Linked DNA regions of Saccharomyces cerevisiae S288C. Each later gene encodes a partner of the first gene's protein in a complex. Each region holds a gene or a part of one and is shown in the gene's direction. Other genes may lie near its edges.

Evidence for each region.
Region 2: the proteins of RPN3 (region 1) and RPN7 are in contact, whole or in part, in a cryo-EM structure (PDB 5MPD), measured with the Saccharomyces cerevisiae proteins. Residues at the interface, in NP_010938.1 of Saccharomyces cerevisiae: Arg298 (codon at 3,148), His302 (codon at 3,160), Leu397 (codon at 3,445), Thr398 (codon at 3,448), Tyr399 (codon at 3,451), Lys400 (codon at 3,454), Lys401 (codon at 3,457), Ile402 (codon at 3,460), Phe442 (codon at 3,580), Leu449 (codon at 3,601), Asn450 (codon at 3,604), Ile451 (codon at 3,607), Tyr452 (codon at 3,610), Pro457 (codon at 3,625), Val460 (codon at 3,634), Phe461 (codon at 3,637), Arg464 (codon at 3,646), Phe467 (codon at 3,655), Leu471 (codon at 3,667), Glu474 (codon at 3,676), Tyr475 (codon at 3,679), Ser478 (codon at 3,688); in NP_015433.1 of Saccharomyces cerevisiae: Asp365 (codon at 10,345), Gly369 (codon at 10,357), Ile372 (codon at 10,366), Pro373 (codon at 10,369), Lys375 (codon at 10,375), Cys379 (codon at 10,387), Val380 (codon at 10,390), Ile381 (codon at 10,393), Asp382 (codon at 10,396), Arg383 (codon at 10,399), Val384 (codon at 10,402), Asn385 (codon at 10,405), Glu389 (codon at 10,417), Pro393 (codon at 10,429), Asn395 (codon at 10,435), Lys396 (codon at 10,438), Asn397 (codon at 10,441), Tyr400 (codon at 10,450), His401 (codon at 10,453), Val404 (codon at 10,462), Asp408 (codon at 10,474), Leu411 (codon at 10,483), Gln415 (codon at 10,495), Lys416 (codon at 10,498), Arg422 (codon at 10,516).

Annotation. Positions count from the first base shown.
Region 1 is NC_001137.3:194,692-199,019, forward strand, and holds RPN3 (proteasome regulatory particle lid subunit RPN3), read left to right. Parts: upstream 1-2,256; coding exon 2,257-3,828; downstream 3,829-4,328. Other genes in the region: GPA2 (guanine nucleotide-binding protein subunit alpha), read left to right, coding at 477-1,826; SRB4 (Srb4p), read left to right, coding at 4,121-4,328. UniProt on the Saccharomyces cerevisiae protein: Acts as a regulatory subunit of the 26S proteasome which is involved in the ATP-dependent degradation of ubiquitinated proteins.
Region 2 is NC_001148.4:733,202-749,146, forward strand, and holds RPN7 (proteasome regulatory particle lid subunit RPN7), read left to right. Parts: upstream 1-9,252; coding exon 9,253-10,542; downstream 10,543-15,945. Other genes in the region: PRE2 (proteasome core particle subunit beta 5), read left to right, coding at 1-11; FHL1 (Fhl1p), read right to left, coding at 422-3,232; Golgi transport complex subunit COG4, read right to left, coding at 3,783-6,368; putative protein kinase ISR1, read left to right, coding at 6,860-8,191; cleavage polyadenylation factor RNA-binding subunit YTH1, read right to left, coding at 8,237-8,863; GLD1 (Gld1p), read left to right, coding at 11,488-12,372; DNA-directed RNA polymerase core subunit RPC40, read right to left, coding at 12,627-13,634; serine/threonine-protein kinase DBF20, read left to right, coding at 14,105-15,799. UniProt on the Saccharomyces cerevisiae protein: Component of the 19S cap proteasome complex which acts as a regulatory subunit of the 26S proteasome, involved in the ATP-dependent degradation of ubiquitinated proteins.

The DNA of each region.
Region 1 (4,328 bases):
GGAAAAAAAAAAAGACGAAATCCAAAAGGCTAAGGAAACGGGTAACCCGTGGTACCCGGGGCAGAATCAAACTTATAATTACTAAAGATATACCATATATTACGATCCCTGCGCCCGGCGTGCTCCACATTAAGTAAATGTCTGGAGTAAAATGAAGTCCGCCAATTCAGTCACAAAACATGACTACTGCCTCGTTCGCGATTTCTTCTTCCCTTACTTCATCATGTTCAAGCCCCCTCAGCTGCGCCCAAATGATTCTTCTTATCCTCTTGCATACTGCACCGAAAAAAAAAGTTAATAAGCAGCAGGATTTATAGGCGCGTGCGTGCAGCCTTAGACTGAAGGGGTGGAAAAACTTTAGGTAGGTTTGGTTCTCACTACCCAAAGAGCAATCGATAGGTATAAAAGTGAGCAATTGCTATCACAGCGAGCCTTATTGTTACAGCACAAATCACGCGTATTTTCAAGCAAATATCATGGGTCTCTGCGCATCTTCAGAAAAGAACGGCAGCACTCCTGACACGCAGACCGCCAGCGCTGGTAGTGACAACGTTGGCAAAGCGAAGGTACCACCAAAGCAGGAGCCACAGAAGACTGTGAGAACAGTCAACACAGCAAATCAACAAGAAAAGCAACAACAGAGGCAGCAGCAGCCGTCTCCGCATAATGTTAAGGACCGCAAGGAGCAAAACGGGAGCATTAATAACGCGATATCTCCCACGGCTACGGCAAATACAAGCGGATCGCAACAGATCAATATCGACTCTGCCCTGAGAGACAGGTCGAGTAACGTTGCAGCACAACCATCATTGTCGGACGCTTCAAGTGGCAGCAACGACAAAGAACTGAAAGTGCTACTGCTGGGTGCCGGTGAAAGTGGTAAGTCCACGGTATTGCAGCAGTTGAAGATTTTACACCAGAACGGGTTTAGCGAGCAGGAAATTAAAGAGTACATCCCCTTGATCTATCAGAATCTATTGGAAATTGGCAGGAACCTCATCCAGGCGAGAACAAGGTTTAACGTCAACTTGGAACCGGAGTGTGAACTGACGCAACAAGACCTGTCGAGAACCATGTCCTATGAAATGCCCAATAACTACACGGGCCAATTCCCGGAAGATATCGCGGGCGTAATATCTACGTTGTGGGCCTTGCCCTCAACACAAGATTTAGTCAATGGGCCTAACGCATCGAAGTTCTATCTAATGGACTCGACTCCTTACTTCATGGAAAATTTCACCAGGATCACTTCGCCCAATTACAGACCCACCCAGCAGGACATATTAAGATCGAGACAGATGACGTCAGGGATTTTTGACACCGTCATTGATATGGGGTCGGATATCAAGATGCATATTTACGACGTGGGTGGACAGCGTTCCGAAAGAAAAAAATGGATACACTGCTTCGACAATGTCACTCTGGTCATATTTTGCGTTTCTCTATCGGAGTACGACCAGACGCTGATGGAGGACAAGAACCAGAACAGGTTTCAGGAATCGCTGGTGCTTTTCGATAATATTGTCAACAGTAGATGGTTCGCGCGCACGTCTGTCGTACTCTTTCTGAATAAAATCGACCTTTTTGCTGAAAAACTAAGCAAAGTGCCTATGGAAAATTACTTCCCAGACTACACCGGCGGGTCAGACATCAACAAGGCTGCTAAGTACATACTCTGGAGGTTTGTTCAGTTAAACAGGGCGAATCTAAGCATATATCCTCACGTGACACAGGCCACAGACACGTCGAATATAAGATTAGTATTTGCCGCCATCAAAGAAACAATTTTGGAAAATACATTGAAAGACTCTGGAGTGTTACAATGAATGCACAGCTAAAACAGAGACAAAACTGCATGCCTCTTCTCCCCTTTATTATCACCTTTAAAAAAGATAAAAAAAGAAACTGGAAAAAAGGTAAAAAAAAAAAAAAAATTAAATAAATACGAATACGTTTTCTCATGACCATTGTACTAGTAATCACAACCATGATACTTGAATAACTTTTCTGTTTTGTGCTGTATTAAGCACAACCGTTATTTTTTAATTTATAGCGTTATACCACTATATTATTGTAGTCATTATAGTTATTATCCCGGGTAACAAAAATTTCATTCCAACGAGGTAATAGTTCCACTTTTCAGGCAGGAGGACGAAAAACATTTGCCACCCAAGAAAGAGACAAAGCAGTAGGTAAGGCATTCATCACACAATTTGAAAGGGGGTATAGTAAAAAAAATTCAATTGAGCAAATAGAATGGCTAGCACTGCAGTAATGATGGACGTGGATTCTTCCGGGGTCAATGACTTGCACCATTCTGAGAAGAAATATGCGGAAGAAGATCAGGTTCAGGAACTATTGAAAGTTTTGAATGAGATCTCCAAGACCACTTTAACGCTGGACCCAAGATATATATGGAGGAGTTTAAAGGACTTGAGCTCTTTAAGGAACCAGGAGCTTTTGAATGCGGAAACTTTATGTTTCACAGTGAATGTGCTGTACCCTGATTCTTCTTCATTCAAGAAGAATCTGCTGAAGTTCATTACTTCTAACCATAAATCGTCCGTACCGGGGTCAGCTGAGCTTAGAAACTCATATCCAGCCTCTTTTTATTCCGTAAACACTGAGAAAAAGACCATTGAAGTGACAGCTGAAATTAATTGCTTCATGCATCTACTAGTCCAGTTGTTTTTATGGGACAGTAAAGAATTAGAACAATTGGTAGAGTTTAATAGGAAGGTTGTTATCCCAAATTTATTGTGTTATTACAATTTGCGTTCCTTGAATTTAATCAACGCTAAGTTATGGTTCTACATCTACTTGAGTCATGAAACGTTAGCGCGCAGCTCCGAGGAGATTAACAGCGACAACCAAAATATAATCTTAAGGTCCACGATGATGAAGTTTTTGAAAATCGCTTCCCTGAAGCACGACAACGAAACCAAAGCCATGCTGATTAACTTGATCTTGAGAGATTTTTTGAATAATGGCGAGGTTGATAGCGCGTCTGATTTCATTTCTAAACTAGAATATCCTCACACAGACGTTTCCAGTTCATTGGAGGCAAGATATTTCTTCTATTTATCGAAAATTAACGCCATTCAACTGGATTATTCCACTGCGAACGAGTACATTATTGCAGCCATAAGAAAAGCCCCACATAATTCCAAGAGTTTAGGGTTCTTACAGCAATCAAACAAACTGCATTGTTGTATTCAATTACTCATGGGTGATATTCCAGAATTATCATTTTTCCATCAATCAAATATGCAGAAATCTCTCCTTCCTTATTACCATTTGACCAAAGCCGTTAAATTAGGTGACTTGAAAAAATTCACATCTACAATCACAAAGTATAAGCAGTTGCTATTGAAGGATGACACCTATCAACTCTGTGTTAGATTAAGATCTAATGTTATCAAGACAGGTATCAGGATCATCTCCTTAACGTATAAAAAAATTTCATTAAGAGATATTTGTTTGAAACTGAATTTGGATTCGGAGCAAACTGTAGAATACATGGTTTCAAGGGCTATTAGAGATGGTGTTATTGAAGCCAAGATTAATCACGAGGATGGCTTTATCGAAACCACAGAATTACTAAACATTTATGATAGTGAAGATCCTCAGCAAGTATTTGATGAAAGAATCAAATTTGCCAACCAATTACATGATGAATACCTTGTTTCAATGAGGTACCCTGAGGATAAAAAGACTCAACAAAATGAGAAAAGTGAAAATGGTGAAAATGATGATGATACGCTAGATGGTGATTTGATGGATGACATGTCTGATATCTCGGATCTCGACGATTTGGGATTCTTATAAGGGCGCATAAAAAATAAATAACTACCATTCATAACAGAAATTCATTCGTATATACATAAAGTTCTCATAAACGTATATATATATATATATATATACTTATTGATATCAAAGTGTGTTACTTTCTACATTCATAGACGGGGAAGAAAAGTGAGGAAAAGTTGTTTTCTCTTGTGCACTGCAGCCCTTTGAAAAAGTAGAACTGCAGAAAAAATAACTGAACGTAAAGCATTATTTACTTTTCAAAGGCAAAAGAGATAGAGCCAAAAAAATTGTAAGCAGCTTAAAAGCCATAATGACAACGGAAGATCCAGATTCAAATCACTTAAGTTCCGAAACTGGCATTAAATTGGCATTGGACCCGAACTTAATTACATTGGCACTAAGTTCTAATCCAAACTCTAGCCTTCATTCACCAACGTCTGATGAACCCGTACCTGAATCTGCAGGAAAAGCAGATACTAGTATTCGACTAGAAGGTGATGAGTTAGAGAATAAAACTA
Region 2 (15,945 bases), on another chromosome or scaffold:
TTATTGGCTAAATAGAAGCATCAAACATATGTATATGCACATCTATATTAATGATACATTATTCTCTTCAAGGATCCAATATGGCTTCCCATAGAATTATGAAGGAAGTCCAGTTCTCATGTTTCCAATCATCACATCTATATATTTTTATATAATTATATCTTTAAGTATTGTTCGGTAATATGAGGACAGACGCCATCAATGCAAACAAAAAGTGAAACCCGAAATCAAACGAAGTGAATAAGTAGTTGTAGAGGCGACCCGATGGAAAATTTTGTAAAAATCGAAGACTGAATCTCAACAACGCAAAACAGAATAGGACGCATAGATTCATACCTATTACTATGGCTTGATCCGATCTATCTTTATGAAAAGATTTATGCTTCTACTTCGAATATGCTAATACTATTATCGAAATTTTTTAAAGTTTTTCCTCAAGGGATACATTTACTTCAGTGATACCCTCGTTGATATCCTCGCTGACCTTCCGCCTTTTAGAATCATGACCTTCTTCGTCGGTTTTTGAAATCTCGCGATTATCATTGCTACTATTCTCGTCTTTAGATGGAATATCATCTTTAGATTCGTTGTTTTTAATACTTTCACTATCGATCTTTTCGTTTTTGTTGTTCTTTTCATCTACTTCGCTTCCACTATCACTTTCGCTTTCGCTTTCACTACTAGTGCTGCTATTATCGCCGCTTCCACTAGCACTACCGTCATCGCTACCACTATCGCTCTCGCTTCCGCTCTCACTACTGGAACTGCTACTACTACTAGTGCCGCTTTCACTTTCTAAGTCGTTGTCCTGTGCAGGCTTAGGTTTGGGTTGTGCATCAACATTTTGAGAAGCAGCCGCCGGAACTGACGTAGCTGCCACAGAGGATGTAGCCCTAGCATTTTGTCTCGGTTGAAAAAATCGAGACAAGGACGAAGGATCAAACGATCCCGGTTGTTTATCATGCAAGTAATTATTGGGATGGGATGATGCCGACGCAGATAACTGAGATGGAGGCCTATCTGGTACATGCGGCGTCTGGACTATTGGTTGGCGTATCGGTTTGGAATGCTGTGCCTTAGCTGCTAAAGCCGCCGCCGCTGTAGTTTCAGGGTTCACTAATTGCTTTACCTCACCTTTTGTGACTTTTGCAGTTGCCGCGTTTACAGCAGCTGCTAAAATTAGATTCAAATGCTGAGGATTCTTGTCCATCAAGGCTGTAAGTGGATTACCAGTAATCCCCTTGTTTTTTGCCGCTTGTGTAACCTGATTTATTGTCATAGCTAGAGCCTGCGTCAAAATTGCAGCGATGACCTGCTTCGATAAACCCTTTCTATCTCGTGTTAAAATGACAAGCTGTTCCTGCAGATATTTCATTGTCCTTTGATTATCACTTGCTGTATTTTTCCTGTTCGAGGCGGCTCTGTTTGCTGCAAGAGTTTGTGAGATGTTTTGTTTTCTCGCATTAACGTTAGATCTCTGCGAAACAATATCTTTTTTGCCCCTCTGCGGCACTTGCTGAAGTTTGTGCTGTTGCTGTTCAAGTTTTAATTGTGCAGCTTGTGCCTTTGCCACAGCTATCTCACTTTGTTTCTTTTTCTGTCGTTCCCTCTCTGCAATATATTCTTCATCAAGACCCCATAACCATCCTTTGCCTTCTTTAGAAACCTTCCTGAAAGATTTATTTAGCGATAAGTTGTGTCTTACCGAGCTTTGCCACCCATCAGGACAGTATTTATAATAGGGGAAGAGTTCTCTTATTCCTGCATAAATTTCAGATAAAGACATTCCCTTGGCAGTCGAGTACTTTCGTATGCAAGTAGTTAGCATAGCAGAGTAAGATACAGTAGGTTTCGTTCTATATTCTACTGGAATCTCCTCCAAAGTATATACTTTCTTTGGTATTTTCGGTGGCTTCTTTTCTTTCTTAACAGCTGGTTTGGTCTGCGCTTTCTTGGGCTTTGCTCCAGTTGTAATCTTTTTCTTAGATTTGGGCTCGTTTTTTTTGAGATTTCTTGTATTTATTTCAGATTCTGCTATGTCAGCGTTTTCTGGGCTTTTGCTATCGTCGTTACGTTCTTGTTCTGGTAAAATAAATTGAAATGGAATTTGTCCAATTTGAATTTTTGTCTTATTACGAAGTGGCACAGTATTTCCTTTTTCAACGAAAATGTCATCCACAAAAGCACCATTCTTCCCTATTATGGACAATTCGAACCTTCCTGTCCCAAAATTGTAAAAAATCTGGGCGTGTCTCCTCGATATTGATTTTGAAGGACCAAGATTAACGTCAACTTTGTGGGAGAAGTCATTCTCAGACCTCCTTCCGATTATTGCATGTAATGTTTGTACATAAAATGTGAAACTTTGAAAGTCCAGCCTTGCATAGGCGAAGATAGTCGGTTGTTCATTCGGTAGCGGTAAACTTGCATCGATTGGCTCAGATAGTTTTCGTTGGGTAGTTTCAGCATCTGTACTATTATTTTCCGTTACAGTGTTTTGTGGCGGTTGTCCCACTAATTCATGCTGCTGAAACATTATTGGCGTTATTGAATTGTTTCTCATATGCAGCATGTTGTTTTTTTCATCTACTAATGTTGGTAGGGTCTCGGTATCTTTGTTTACTGATAATTTATGCACATCTGTGTATATAGCATCAGCAGTGGGTTCATCCTTTTGTATACTTGTATCTTCTGAGTTCCTTATGCCTTCAGTTTTCACTGCTGCTGTGTTATCTTGAGTTTTCTCCCTTTCGTCCTCATCAGGGTTTACTGGCTCTATATTGATATCTTCTTTTGATGAAACCTCCCTGCTGTGATCATGAGTTAAATCGATGTTATTTACAGGATCCATGGTGTGGGATAACAACTCATTTGAGTTGAACAGAGCTTCATCATTTTTTGCATCAAATTCCAGTAGCTTCGAAAAATCAGCGTTATCAAGGTTATCAGGTAATTCAAGTTTCAAATTTCCATTATCGTCTGTAACAGGATTCTCTACCTCGTTTTCAATATCAGTAGTCGTGTTTTGAGGATGTTTTTCCTCTGTTACTATATCAGAACTTTTTGGTAGTTTTGTTTCAATCGGTACCTCGCTTGTCGGTGAATTTGTTATGCTTTCTTTGGTTTCTTGGTCTTTCAATGCGGAAGAATCTATAGTAAACTGTGTTTCAGTGGTAGGCGATGAAGTCCCGACATGATTGCTGCTTTCTATTATTGCCATTTCCCCATCCATCTTATTCTTATATTTGTATAGATATGAGTGGGTTTTTGTTTTGAGCGGCTAGACGTTAAATCAGGTAAAAACCAGTACCAGGTATATTATGGTAATAAAAAAAGGAGAAAATAAAATGCTTTCAAATACAAAATTAATATTCGTGATGACCTTCTACAAGAGAAAAAAATGTGCCAATAGAAAAGTCCTATTTATCCAGCCCAGAAGATAATAGCAAATATTAATAGACTTTAAACTAACTCAAAGGATGACAAAGTTGGCCTTAGAGAAAGAGCTACTCCTTTCTTAGCTTGGTGACGGAATATATTTCAAAGGTTCCTTTGTTTATTTTTTATTAACGCTTTTAATTTTTCTTGTCTTAGTCTTCGTAATTTCCAGTTAATCGCAACGTTCAGAATGATAGTATGGCGCTATCATGTTGTGCTCTTTCATAAGAAAAATAAGAAATGTATTAACAGTCAAGAGTATGCAGAAAAGGTACAACAGCCAAGATTATGTTTGCGTTTATATGAAACTACTTAGTATTCAGCTCGTAAAGCTTATGTTATATTTACTGTGTTCTATCAATCTTCATATTTCTAGCTTTAATTCTTTCCTGAGAGTTTATCACCCAATCGAAAGTACCATTGAAGTCATCCTTGATATCACCTGTAGTCAAATCAAAATTGTCATCATCTAAACCGAGAAGCAACACGATTTGTGTCAATTTCAAGAACTTCTCTCTGAGATTATAGTTCAAGCCACACATATTGCCGATGAAAAGGCTCAGTTCTCTATCTAATTTCGTAACACCAAGTTCATTGAATTCTAGAGTCCATATTCTTTGCTCCAATGTTGTTACGATGTAGTCGACTATGACAGATAGCAACTCTGCATATGCTTCGTTGTGAAGAATATTTTTGTAAGGGATAATCAATTGGTTCCATTTGCTATTGAAACTGTTAATTTGCGACAAATCTTCGAAATCTTCTATGCTTGTGATGTAATTCTTTTGGTTCGAACCTGCAGAATAATCGCGAGACACATTTTTTTGATTGGACGTTGAGGAATTTGATGAGGCTGAATTAACAAAAACAGTTCCCAATAAGTTCCGAACCCTATTTTGTAGGATATTTTGGAACAAGTATTTGACAGCCCATTTGCTTAGCTTATCTGTTTGTTCCAGGACTAATTTTTCTGAGTTTATAATTAAATTCTGTAACTGCGCTGCATCATTGTCAAAAGGGAAATTGTCTCTCAAAATCCTTTGCGAATCGTCTTCTAATATTTCTATGGATAACAGCCTGTGAACGTATACTTTACTCAAGTACAACGTGTTCAGATATATCAAATAATGGTGCAACGCAAGAATGGAATCCTCGTCCTCTGCAACTACGGCTTGTAAATTTGATTGAATATTTGTCAAAGCGCTAGCTGCTGCCCCTCTAAAAGTGAACCTGCTTAGCGGAGAAAACTTATTTGCAGGTGGAGAAACCGATCTTGATGTTGCAGATTGCTCCTCACCTTTTGGAATGTATCTTTTCAAAGATACATTGGAGGCTAGTTTCGATTGTAGTAACTTAAATTTGTTTTGCATAAATTTTACCAGAAATCGGTTCTGAAAAAATTTTACCAACTCGTTCAAAAAACTTGCTAAGAGCTTAAACTGGCCAGTATTAACCACTGATATCAGATTTTTCCGAACTAATAAAATTAAGTCATCTAAAACAGATGTTACAGGGTATGAAATGTTATCGTGGTCATTGAGGGGAACAGCAGTTATAAGATCGTTCAGTGACGGTAATTCTTCTAGTGAAATACTATTTCTAAATGATCTCTGCAGATGGTTCAACACAAACACCTGAAACTCATCAAAGACCTTATCTTGCTTTAACTTTAAGGCAAATTTACCATCTGCTATTGGTGGAGGTGGTTGCAATACATGCGGATGCAAATCGCTAAATTCATTCCATTTAACTGAATAAAATCTAGAATACATGGACCAATTTTGAAGTATTTGAGAAAATTCCATTATCAATAATGCCAAGTCATGAATGGATATAATTGAGCTCTTTTCCGTTTCTCCGTCTGTTTCGATATCCGACTGATTACTGTCTATATTCACATCTTCATTCTTTTGTGAATGTTCCCATTCATTTATATCATGTATAGTCCTTTCTATTTTCCTCGTCTCCATAAAAATATCTAGAATCAAACTAGCTTGAAGATCAGCTTCTTTTTCTACTTTTTCCATGACATGCACCATGTGCTTTTTTCCATAACACGTGGCGATGACTTTTGAATGATCATTTATAATGGTCGATACAATTTTAAAAAGATGTAACAGTACTTGTGAAAAAAATCCTTGAAACTTGGTGCTGTTTTCCATAGAATTCGACATAATTTTCCTGCTTTCGTCCGCAATAATATCACAGACATATTTGGAATACAGGTCTAAACCAAGTACGTCCTGCCCAATCATAGGGAACATTTTGAACATTAAGGTTAGCTCTTTAATATCCTGTGTTCTTGTTGCTTCCATGAATTGCTCCTGAAATAAACTTGTCAGTTCCTTACACCAATTCTTTATTAGTATAGCTGGTTCTTCGGGAATTTCACTCGAGGGCACAACTTTCTTGGCAAACTCGGATACAATAAGTTTTTTATCCGGAAGGCTTCTAATTTCATTGATTGCTGTCGCAGCAACTAAGTAATCCTTTGTTTCTAAAGCAGAATGCGCCAGTGAAATATTATTCTTTAGCGTCCTGACGTCTTTTACAAATTGTAACGTTTTGTTGACCAAAGCGCGTTCCTGATCTACAGTTTCAATATCGTCATGTATAGCTTTTGCTCTTGCGTTCGAAGAAGAAATGGTGGCCACAGTCTCATGAAACTGAGTCAAAGTAGTCGTAAGGTTAGTTCTTTGCAATTCTAATTTCCGGGACTCTTTGTTGAGCGATGATTGCGACTGTTGCACAAATGCATTTAATTGTTTAGATTGTTTTGCGTAATCATTGGCTATCACTTCAGACAGCTTGTCTATTTGAGATAGTGTCGATAATTTGTCTAATAACAAGGTGTACCTTGCTAGATTTTTAGACAATTGGCCCTCGATGATCGAGCTCTCCCATGATGCATTCGATTTTTGCCCTTCCATCAAAACTTCACCCTTTTAGAGCCTGACAATACAGTATCGTTAGTTTGCGCTACTTCGCTGTCCCAACGAATTTGGTTTGTTTTCTATGTTCTATCTCTATCCCACACTTTTTTCACAATTCCTTTACAGGCGAAAATTCAAAAAAGTGACGTAAATGGAGTTCTAAAAGCTAAAGCAACAAGTTAATAAGGTTAGAAGATCGTAAATGTGTTTCAAAAGTTGCTTACCTCCTTCACTATATCTCAGCTGCTTGTATAGCCTATGACGAAAATTTATGTTCCCTAGCAAGGATATAATGTGTCAATCAACATGATCGCAAACCAGCTAGATTGTGATGTATGGGTCTATCTTATTGTTTATTTTGACTAGCATTGAATAAACAAAAAGCGCTGCTAATAGATTCTTGCCTTTATATAACGGGGATCTAACCTCATCAACAGCAAAAATCGTCTTAAAACACATCTCAAAGACTAGTTCTCAAACGTCACGCTATGAACAGTACACCTCCTACGTCACCCGTCACCAGGGTTTCTGATGGTTCCTTTCCATCCATAAGTAACAATAGTAAGGGTTTTGCTTATCGCCAACCGCAAAAACATAAAAGTAACTTCGCATATTCACATCTGGTATCTCCTGTAGAGGAGCCGACAGCTAAATTCAGTGAGGCATTCCAGACAGATTATTCTAGTAAGGCGCCCGTTGCTACCTCGGAGGCGCACCTAAAGAACGATTTAGACGTATTGTTCACTACCCCCCGGTTTTACTCTCCGGAGAATTTGGCTTTAATGTTCCGTCTTTCTAATACAGTTTCTTCCCTAGAATTTCTGGATGAGTTTTTGATGGGCATATTACTTGCTCCAGAGATGGATTTTTTGTCAAATCCAAGTTATTCTCTTCCGTCTAACAAATTAGTGGGACAGGGAAGTTATTCATATGTGTACCCTATATCATCAAGTGCTTCATCAAGATGTAACAACGATTCAGGGGTTGTTTTAAAGTTTGCCAAATCACAGCATAAAAGCAAGGTGATTTTACAGGAAGCTTTGACGCTAGCATATCTCCAGTACATGAGTCCTTCAACCAATGAAAGTCATATTATTCCATTCTATGGGTTGACATACATAACTAAATCCCATTTTAGAAGACTGAGGTCCAACGAATGTGTTCCTGGCCTTATTCTTCCGAAATGCGAAATGAGTTTATATCACTTCAATACAGCAGTGTCACATAAGCTTTCGTTGATAACAAAAAGAAAAATATGGTGGAGACTTATGAAGCAAATGATAGACGCATTAAAATCTTTGAAAACAAATGGTATAATTCATGGTGATATAAAAACAGCAAATATTTTAATAACAGAAATGCATGTTCTTAATGGAGGCCATTGTAAGGATTTTGACTTCTACCTTGCTGACTTTACGTCGGCATTTCACATTAATCAAACACCAACAGATCTGAATACCACGGTAGAATACTGTGCACCAGAACTAATTGATAGCTCCTCCGATCATGTTCCTACATTTGAATCGGATTTGTATGCCGTGGGGCTTTGTCTTTTATCATTTATATCGCAGCATGAGCCTTACAACGAACTTCAGGCGTTAGTGTCGCATGGATCCTCTCCAGGTATTGGCAGTTCATCTATACAGCAGTCCCAATGGCTGATAAATGCTCTTTTGAAAAAAGATCCTATAAATCTAAACATGTTAAGAAACGATTTATTCCAGGATTGGAAGTCAGAACTAGCATTATTGTCCAGAATTCTGGTTGATAGACTTCCTCTAGAAAATCTCATAACTATACTCGATAGTAACTATATATGATAATATACATGTCTATGAAATCGAAAACCCCCAGCCATGCATAGATCAAACTTCACCGTTTATAATTGCGTTTAAACGCCTTTCCTTTTCTTCATCCATTTTCCTGGTATTTATCTCATCGTCTCTCTTAATTCTTAATTTACTACCTTCATCTGGGATTATGAACTGTGGATGTTCCATATCACATTCATCCTTCCCTAAAGGACAAAATCCGGTCATGTATCTTTGACAGAAAACCTTCTTAATATGCCGTCTAGGACAAGAACTCCCCAGAGGACAGAATCCCATTTCGTAATTTTCACATTTTGGTATCTTGCTAGCGGGATCTATGTGTAGATATTGACAATCTGGACTTTGTGTACAGTACCCGTTTTTGCTGAAGAAGACACATTCAGGCATTTTTCGAAGATTGTATTCATGTAAGTATTCACATTGGTCATTCTTTTTGCACAACCCTCGAAGCCAATGTCTACAAACAATTTTATTCTGAAATATTGGTAACACATGCTTTTTTGGACATAACGGTCCCCTCGGACATGATTTAGGGCCTTCTCTAGAATTGTAAAATTCACAAATAGGTCTGTCAGGATCGAGTGAAAACGAATACTCTTGCCTGAGGAAAGGTTCAAATTTAAAAGGATATTTTGCTGTATCGGGGTGAATTAGGCTCATTACATAAACTTATTGATTTTATTCGTCCTAGAATACTTGTTTAAGATACAGTGCAGAAATCTTTAGCTTATAATTCAGAAATGTGATATTTTGAAGCGATTGGAACAACAAAGTACAGTGCATTCTATATAATTATTAAAAGTTATAGTGGACTATTGTAATAACACTTGTTTTCCCCATATCATAACCGACGGCGCGTAAATGCATGCTCAATCAAGTTTCCGAATAAGTTAAGTTTGCCACCCATTGAGGATTAATATACACAAGGCAGCATTGAAAAACCTAATTGTTAACACTACACAAATCTCTATTGTTGTAGTAAACTGCGCTTTTTACCACTGTTACAATAGTTACTAATACACGCAAAAATTCTGGATAAACACGGCAAAATGGTAGACGTGGAAGAGAAAAGTCAAGAAGTTGAATATGTTGATCCAACGGTGAATAGGGTGCCCAATTATGAGGTATCTGAAAAGGCGTTTCTTTTGACACAATCAAAGGTTAGTATTGAACAGCGTAAGGAAGCGGCAGAGTTCGTTTTAGCCAAAATTAAAGAGGAAGAAATGGCCCCTTATTATAAATATCTTTGCGAGGAATACCTTGTTAATAATGGCCAATCTGACTTGGAACACGATGAAAAGTCAGATTCTTTAAACGAATGGATCAAATTTGACCAGGAGCTATACAATGAATTGTGCAAAAAAAATGAAAGTAAGATTAAAGAGTTAAATGAAAAGATCCAAAAATTGGAAGAAGATGATGAAGGTGAACTAGAACAAGCTCAAGCCTGGATTAATCTGGGTGAATATTATGCACAAATCGGTGACAAAGATAATGCTGAAAAGACGCTAGGGAAATCATTATCGAAGGCTATTTCCACAGGCGCCAAAATTGATGTTATGCTAACAATTGCAAGGCTGGGGTTCTTTTATAACGACCAACTTTATGTTAAGGAGAAGTTGGAAGCAGTCAATTCTATGATTGAAAAAGGTGGTGACTGGGAGAGAAGAAATAGATATAAAACATACTATGGTATCCACTGCTTGGCCGTAAGAAACTTTAAGGAAGCGGCAAAGTTATTGGTCGATTCTCTAGCAACTTTCACCTCTATTGAATTAACTTCCTATGAAAGCATTGCCACATATGCATCGGTCACAGGTTTATTCACTCTGGAAAGAACAGACCTAAAATCCAAAGTCATCGATTCACCTGAATTGTTATCTTTAATCTCAACAACTGCCGCACTACAATCTATCTCGTCGTTAACAATTTCCCTTTACGCGTCCGATTATGCCAGTTACTTTCCATATCTTTTGGAAACATATGCAAATGTTTTGATTCCATGTAAATATTTGAATAGACATGCAGATTTCTTTGTTAGAGAAATGAGAAGAAAAGTCTACGCACAATTGTTGGAATCATATAAGACTTTGTCGCTGAAATCTATGGCAAGCGCATTTGGTGTTTCGGTTGCGTTCTTGGATAACGACCTGGGTAAGTTTATTCCAAATAAGCAACTAAATTGTGTCATTGATAGAGTTAATGGGATCGTAGAGACCAACAGGCCAGACAACAAAAATGCTCAATACCATCTGCTAGTTAAGCAAGGTGACGGTTTGCTAACAAAATTACAAAAATACGGTGCAGCAGTGAGATTGACAGGGTCAGATCGTGTTTGAGGAATTTACATTATTTAGCAACGCACATAATCACATCAACATGTATACATAGTTTGGAGACTTGAGTAAATAGTAGTGAGAGGATATATGGATCGGTTCAAGTCAAAGGATTGTAATCATCCTCTTTCTCCTTTAAAACGGAGAGCTTCTATAGTTTTCAAGCTTCCATTAAAAATTTCAGTATTTAGTTCGGAAAGTTACATAATTGCAATGTCTCATAAAGGACCATGCTTCTTTTGAAAGTGAGGAATCTAAGGCTGAAAATGCCAATTCTTAAAAAGTAGTATAACCAGAAAAAGGAATCCCCATAAAAGGAAATTCATGATACGGTCATTGTTTCTTCATTTGTTTAATACGTTGTATTCGAGTGTTCTAGCCAATAAACGATTCAACTAAAACACTTCTGGTTCGCTTTTAGGGATATCGTTGAAATGAAATCACTCCATGATAGTTTAAGTGTTACAGACATTAAGAGAAGTCGGCTGCAAATTTCCATGCAGACACTTTGTCCCTTCTTGGAGGATACCCTACAGTGTAAAAGCCTCCTTAGCTTAGTGGTAGAGCGTTGCACTTGTAATGCAAAGGTCGTTAGTTCAATTCTGACAGGTGGCAAAATTTTTTCCCTAAAGTTAACACTTATTTAGCTTCTTTTTATATAAAAAATCCATGAGAATTGATTCTGCATTTTAGTTTAAATTTTTTCTTTAAGACTATGATGCTTTCATGCACAAGGTTATATTGTTCTCCTTCTCTATAGTTATTGCAAGGAAATCATATATAACGAAACACAATTTGATCCTTTTGAACCTACATTATCCCGCACTCTTGACGTATCATCAAATAAAGCTAAACTGCGGAAGCCTAAAAATACTAAGCACGCTATTTGTCATCCATTAGCAGGCCAAAAGCAAACTAATCTATGTTTTCAATAAGGCCAATATAATAATGGATAATTTTGAAAGTACTGCTGAAGGAAATTTAAGTATAGGAAACAAACGAGTATACGAACTACGAAAAAGAAACTTCCAAAGAAATTTGGTGAATAATTTGAGCTTTCTCGGGTATGTTTTAATATCATTGGAATATATCAAGTATGATCGTACCGTCTGGACACTTATAACAAGAGCAATAGTGCAATCTCTCATAAGTTCTCCTTTTCCAAGTGATGCCAAGTTACGTAGGCTAGCGACCCTCGGTGCAGATAATAACACGACGGGGGTTGCAACACTTCCAGGCGGAAGATCTATCAGGTTTCCCGGAATGTTTGGAACAGAAATGCTTTATAATTCTTCTAGTGAAGCTGAGCAACAAGACCATGATGATACCGCTATTGTGTCCATGAAAAAGCAAATCCGGAAGTTTTTATTTCATGGTTGCTTATCGTTGAATATGCTTTTCATTATCTTAACAATCCTATTCCCAATTGATTTTTTTGAACCCCTGAGTGGTAGCGAGCCAGTAGACGATGGCCCTAAGAATACTCCCTCACCCTTTTCCAATTCAGATGGTCTACTTTTGGGTGAGAGAAGAGGTGGGCTTTTTCTACAGATGATCGGAGAACGGCTACCAAAGAGCAACTTTTCCGGCAATCTTGGATTAGTAATGTTCGAATTTAGCATACTTATTGTACAGTTTACTTTATTTTCACTAACATGTGTTGTATTGGCAGATTTAGATTTTGAAGAGCCAGAAAGACTAGAACCTGTAAATAGTGATGGCTACGATGGCTCTGTAATAGTTGCACGAATACCATTAAATAAAACCATGAATGCCATTTTAAATGACGGCAATATTAATGACAACAATGAGAATGCTAGCAATTCTGTCTAATAGTATATATATGTAGTCCATAAGGGGTAATGCATATTACTGTTATCGGCACTATTTTATAGAGAGTTACATTTACATATATCATTCTATTACATTTCCTTATCTATGACGATTCATGGGTTTGTATTTTTTTGGTAGGATTTGCCAATTCTACTAATACTAGAAGAAAAGATTATACAAAGATAAAGACCCTGAGGTTAAGTATTTAATATTTTTCTCAAACTGTGTTTTTTTTATTAGTATGCAAAGTAGGATCATTGGGTAATTGGACAGTTTTTCAAATACTCAGCCTTATTCTTTAAAATCCTGACGGATTTGAAAAAAATTTCTTCTGGTGTCATGGCACCAGCGCTTTCTACGTTGAAAATAAAGTGGTTCCTCACTCTTCCTAATTTAACTTTATCAGCAAACTCTTCGTATCTTAAAACCTCCCTGGAAACCGTATCCTTCCTAGCATCTTTGACATACGCTTCATCTGAACCTTCATCAATACCAATAACACCTGGGGGAAAACATTTTTGAAATCTTCTGGCACTTTCACCTTTGATTGGCTGTAAGATATTGATTTGAGGTAATAATCTATAAGAAGCGGTGGAAACTGGTGAAAATTTAGCATGATCACCACCGATACCTAAAATGCAATGTGCCTTCAACGAAATTTCTTGACCAGGCCTTAGCTTAGCTAATAAAATATCAGGATCAGCTGGAACAACCGGACAATCAGCAAAAGTGGTAGATTGTCTGCCCTGTGGTTCAAACTTCAAATCACGGGCGTAGACATGGGCATTGTTATATAGTTCCTTTGGATCAGTAGATCCCTTTGGAGCATCTGGATTTCTTGTGCACTTCACGTTCAAACTCAAAACGATAGTATTTTCATCCGTAAACTTTTCATCGTCCGGCAAATTACTATCAACCCATGTGAGCATATCAGGGTCAACTTTTAATGGAACCAAGCCTATTCTATGAGCCAAAACCTCATCTTGGATAACGGATGTATTGTTAAAAAAATAGACGTATTCAGCAGCCACGGATGGAACCTCGGAAATCATTATACGACGAAAGGCATTCGCAATCGATGTGTCAATGTTTATCAAGTCGAAATTTGCCTCTCTTGCGTCTAATGACGAAATATTGACTTCGAAGTCCTTTTTGAATTTTTCCACATTCCACTCGTTTTCTGCATCCTTCGAGAAACCAGGAAAATCCGTGGAGGTTGTATTCGTTACACGGTTATATTCAATACCCACAATATTTGACATATCTTCTTTCACCTACTTACTTTCATGCACTTGATACCTGCTCTTCTACATAATATGAGTGAAATTTTTTCTTTCAACTCATCGCAATAATTTTTTCACAAAATTTTTGTGAATCCAAGTCACTATAAACGGAATTAATAAATATTTGCAACATAAAGCACAATGTATTGTAGCAGAAGACAAACGACAAGTATGGGATAATGCAACATCTCTTTCTAATTAATATAAAATCAAGAATAAGCATGTCTTCTGACTAATTTTTATATACAAACACCAAGATCATAAATTTTTGTCTTTGAATGGATAATTAACCCATACACCTCATACAAGATTTTGAGAGTAAACACAAATCAATGGACCTGTAGTCGGCTAGATCACAGATCATGATGAACTGTATTGTCGCAACAAACTTGTAACTCCAATAGTGATTAGCAACCCAGAATATCGTATTCAACAATAATTCGGTAGTCATGTTTTCACGAAGTGATCGAGAGGTAGATGATTTGGCTGGTAATATGAGTCATTTAGGGTTCTATGATTTGAATATTCCTAAACCTACTTCTCCACAGGCGCAATATAGGCCTGCTAGAAAGAGCGAAAATGGAAGATTAACTCCCGGACTTCCAAGATCATATAAGCCGTGTGATTCAGATGATCAAGATACCTTCAAAAATCGCATTTCATTGAATCACTCACCGAAGAAGCTACCCAAGGATTTTCACGAGCGTGCTTCCCAAAGTAAAACCCAGAGAGTTGTTAATGTATGCCAACTTTACTTTCTCGACTATTACTGTGACATGTTTGATTATGTTATTAGCAGAAGACAACGTACGAAGCAGGTGCTAAGATATCTTGAACAGCAAAGAAGTGTCAAAAACGTTTCTAATAAGGTTTTAAATGAAGAATGGGCTTTGTATTTGCAAAGAGAACACGAAGTACTGAGAAAAAGGAGGTTGAAACCTAAGCACAAGGATTTTCAGATACTGACACAAGTTGGACAGGGTGGTTATGGGCAAGTTTATCTTGCAAAAAAAAAAGACAGTGATGAAATTTGTGCTTTGAAAATATTAAACAAGAAACTTTTATTCAAACTAAACGAGACGAATCACGTCCTTACTGAGAGGGACATACTAACCACAACTAGATCTGACTGGCTTGTGAAGTTGCTTTATGCATTTCAGGATCCAGAGAGCCTATATTTAGCAATGGAATTTGTACCTGGTGGTGATTTTCGCACATTGTTAATAAATACAAGGATATTGAAGAGCGGTCACGCAAGGTTCTATATCAGCGAAATGTTTTGTGCCGTGAACGCGTTGCATGAACTTGGTTACACTCACCGGGATTTAAAGCCGGAGAATTTCTTGATTGATGCTACAGGGCATATCAAGCTGACCGATTTTGGTCTAGCAGCAGGGACCGTATCAAATGAAAGAATCGAAAGCATGAAAATACGCTTAGAAGAAGTAAAGAATTTGGAATTTCCTGCTTTCACAGAAAGGTCTATCGAGGATAGAAGGAAAATATATCATAACATGAGGAAGACAGAAATTAATTACGCTAACTCTATGGTCGGTTCGCCTGATTATATGGCCCTAGAAGTTCTGGAAGGTAAAAAATACGATTTTACAGTGGATTATTGGTCATTAGGCTGTATGCTTTTTGAAAGTTTGGTTGGATATACACCTTTTAGTGGTTCTTCTACTAATGAAACTTACGAGAATTTAAGATATTGGAAAAAAACTTTAAGAAGGCCCCGTACTGAGGATAGAAGAGCAGCATTCTCAGATAGAACCTGGGATTTAATTACAAGACTAATAGCTGACCCCATCAACAGAGTACGATCTTTTGAGCAAGTTCGCAAAATGTCTTATTTCGCAGAGATCAATTTTGAAACCCTAAGAACAAGTTCTCCACCATTTATTCCTCAATTAGATGATGAAACGGATGCAGGTTATTTCGATGACTTCACAAATGAAGAAGATATGGCTAAATATGCAGATGTCTTCAAAAGACAGAACAAATTATCTGCAATGGTCGATGACTCTGCCGTTGATTCCAAGCTTGTTGGATTTACTTTTAGGCATAGAGATGGAAAACAAGGTTCAAGCGGGATACTTTACAATGGTTCAGAACATTCAGACCCTTTTTCAACTTTTTATTAAGATTACGTCCCTACAATTTAATTTTGTATAGCATAACAGATACATTGACAACAGCAACAAGATGTGCTAACATTTTCCATTTTGAATGATTACCAAAATTATGAAACCAAGGCAACATGTAATTTTTAAGTTTAGTAATCTTTTTC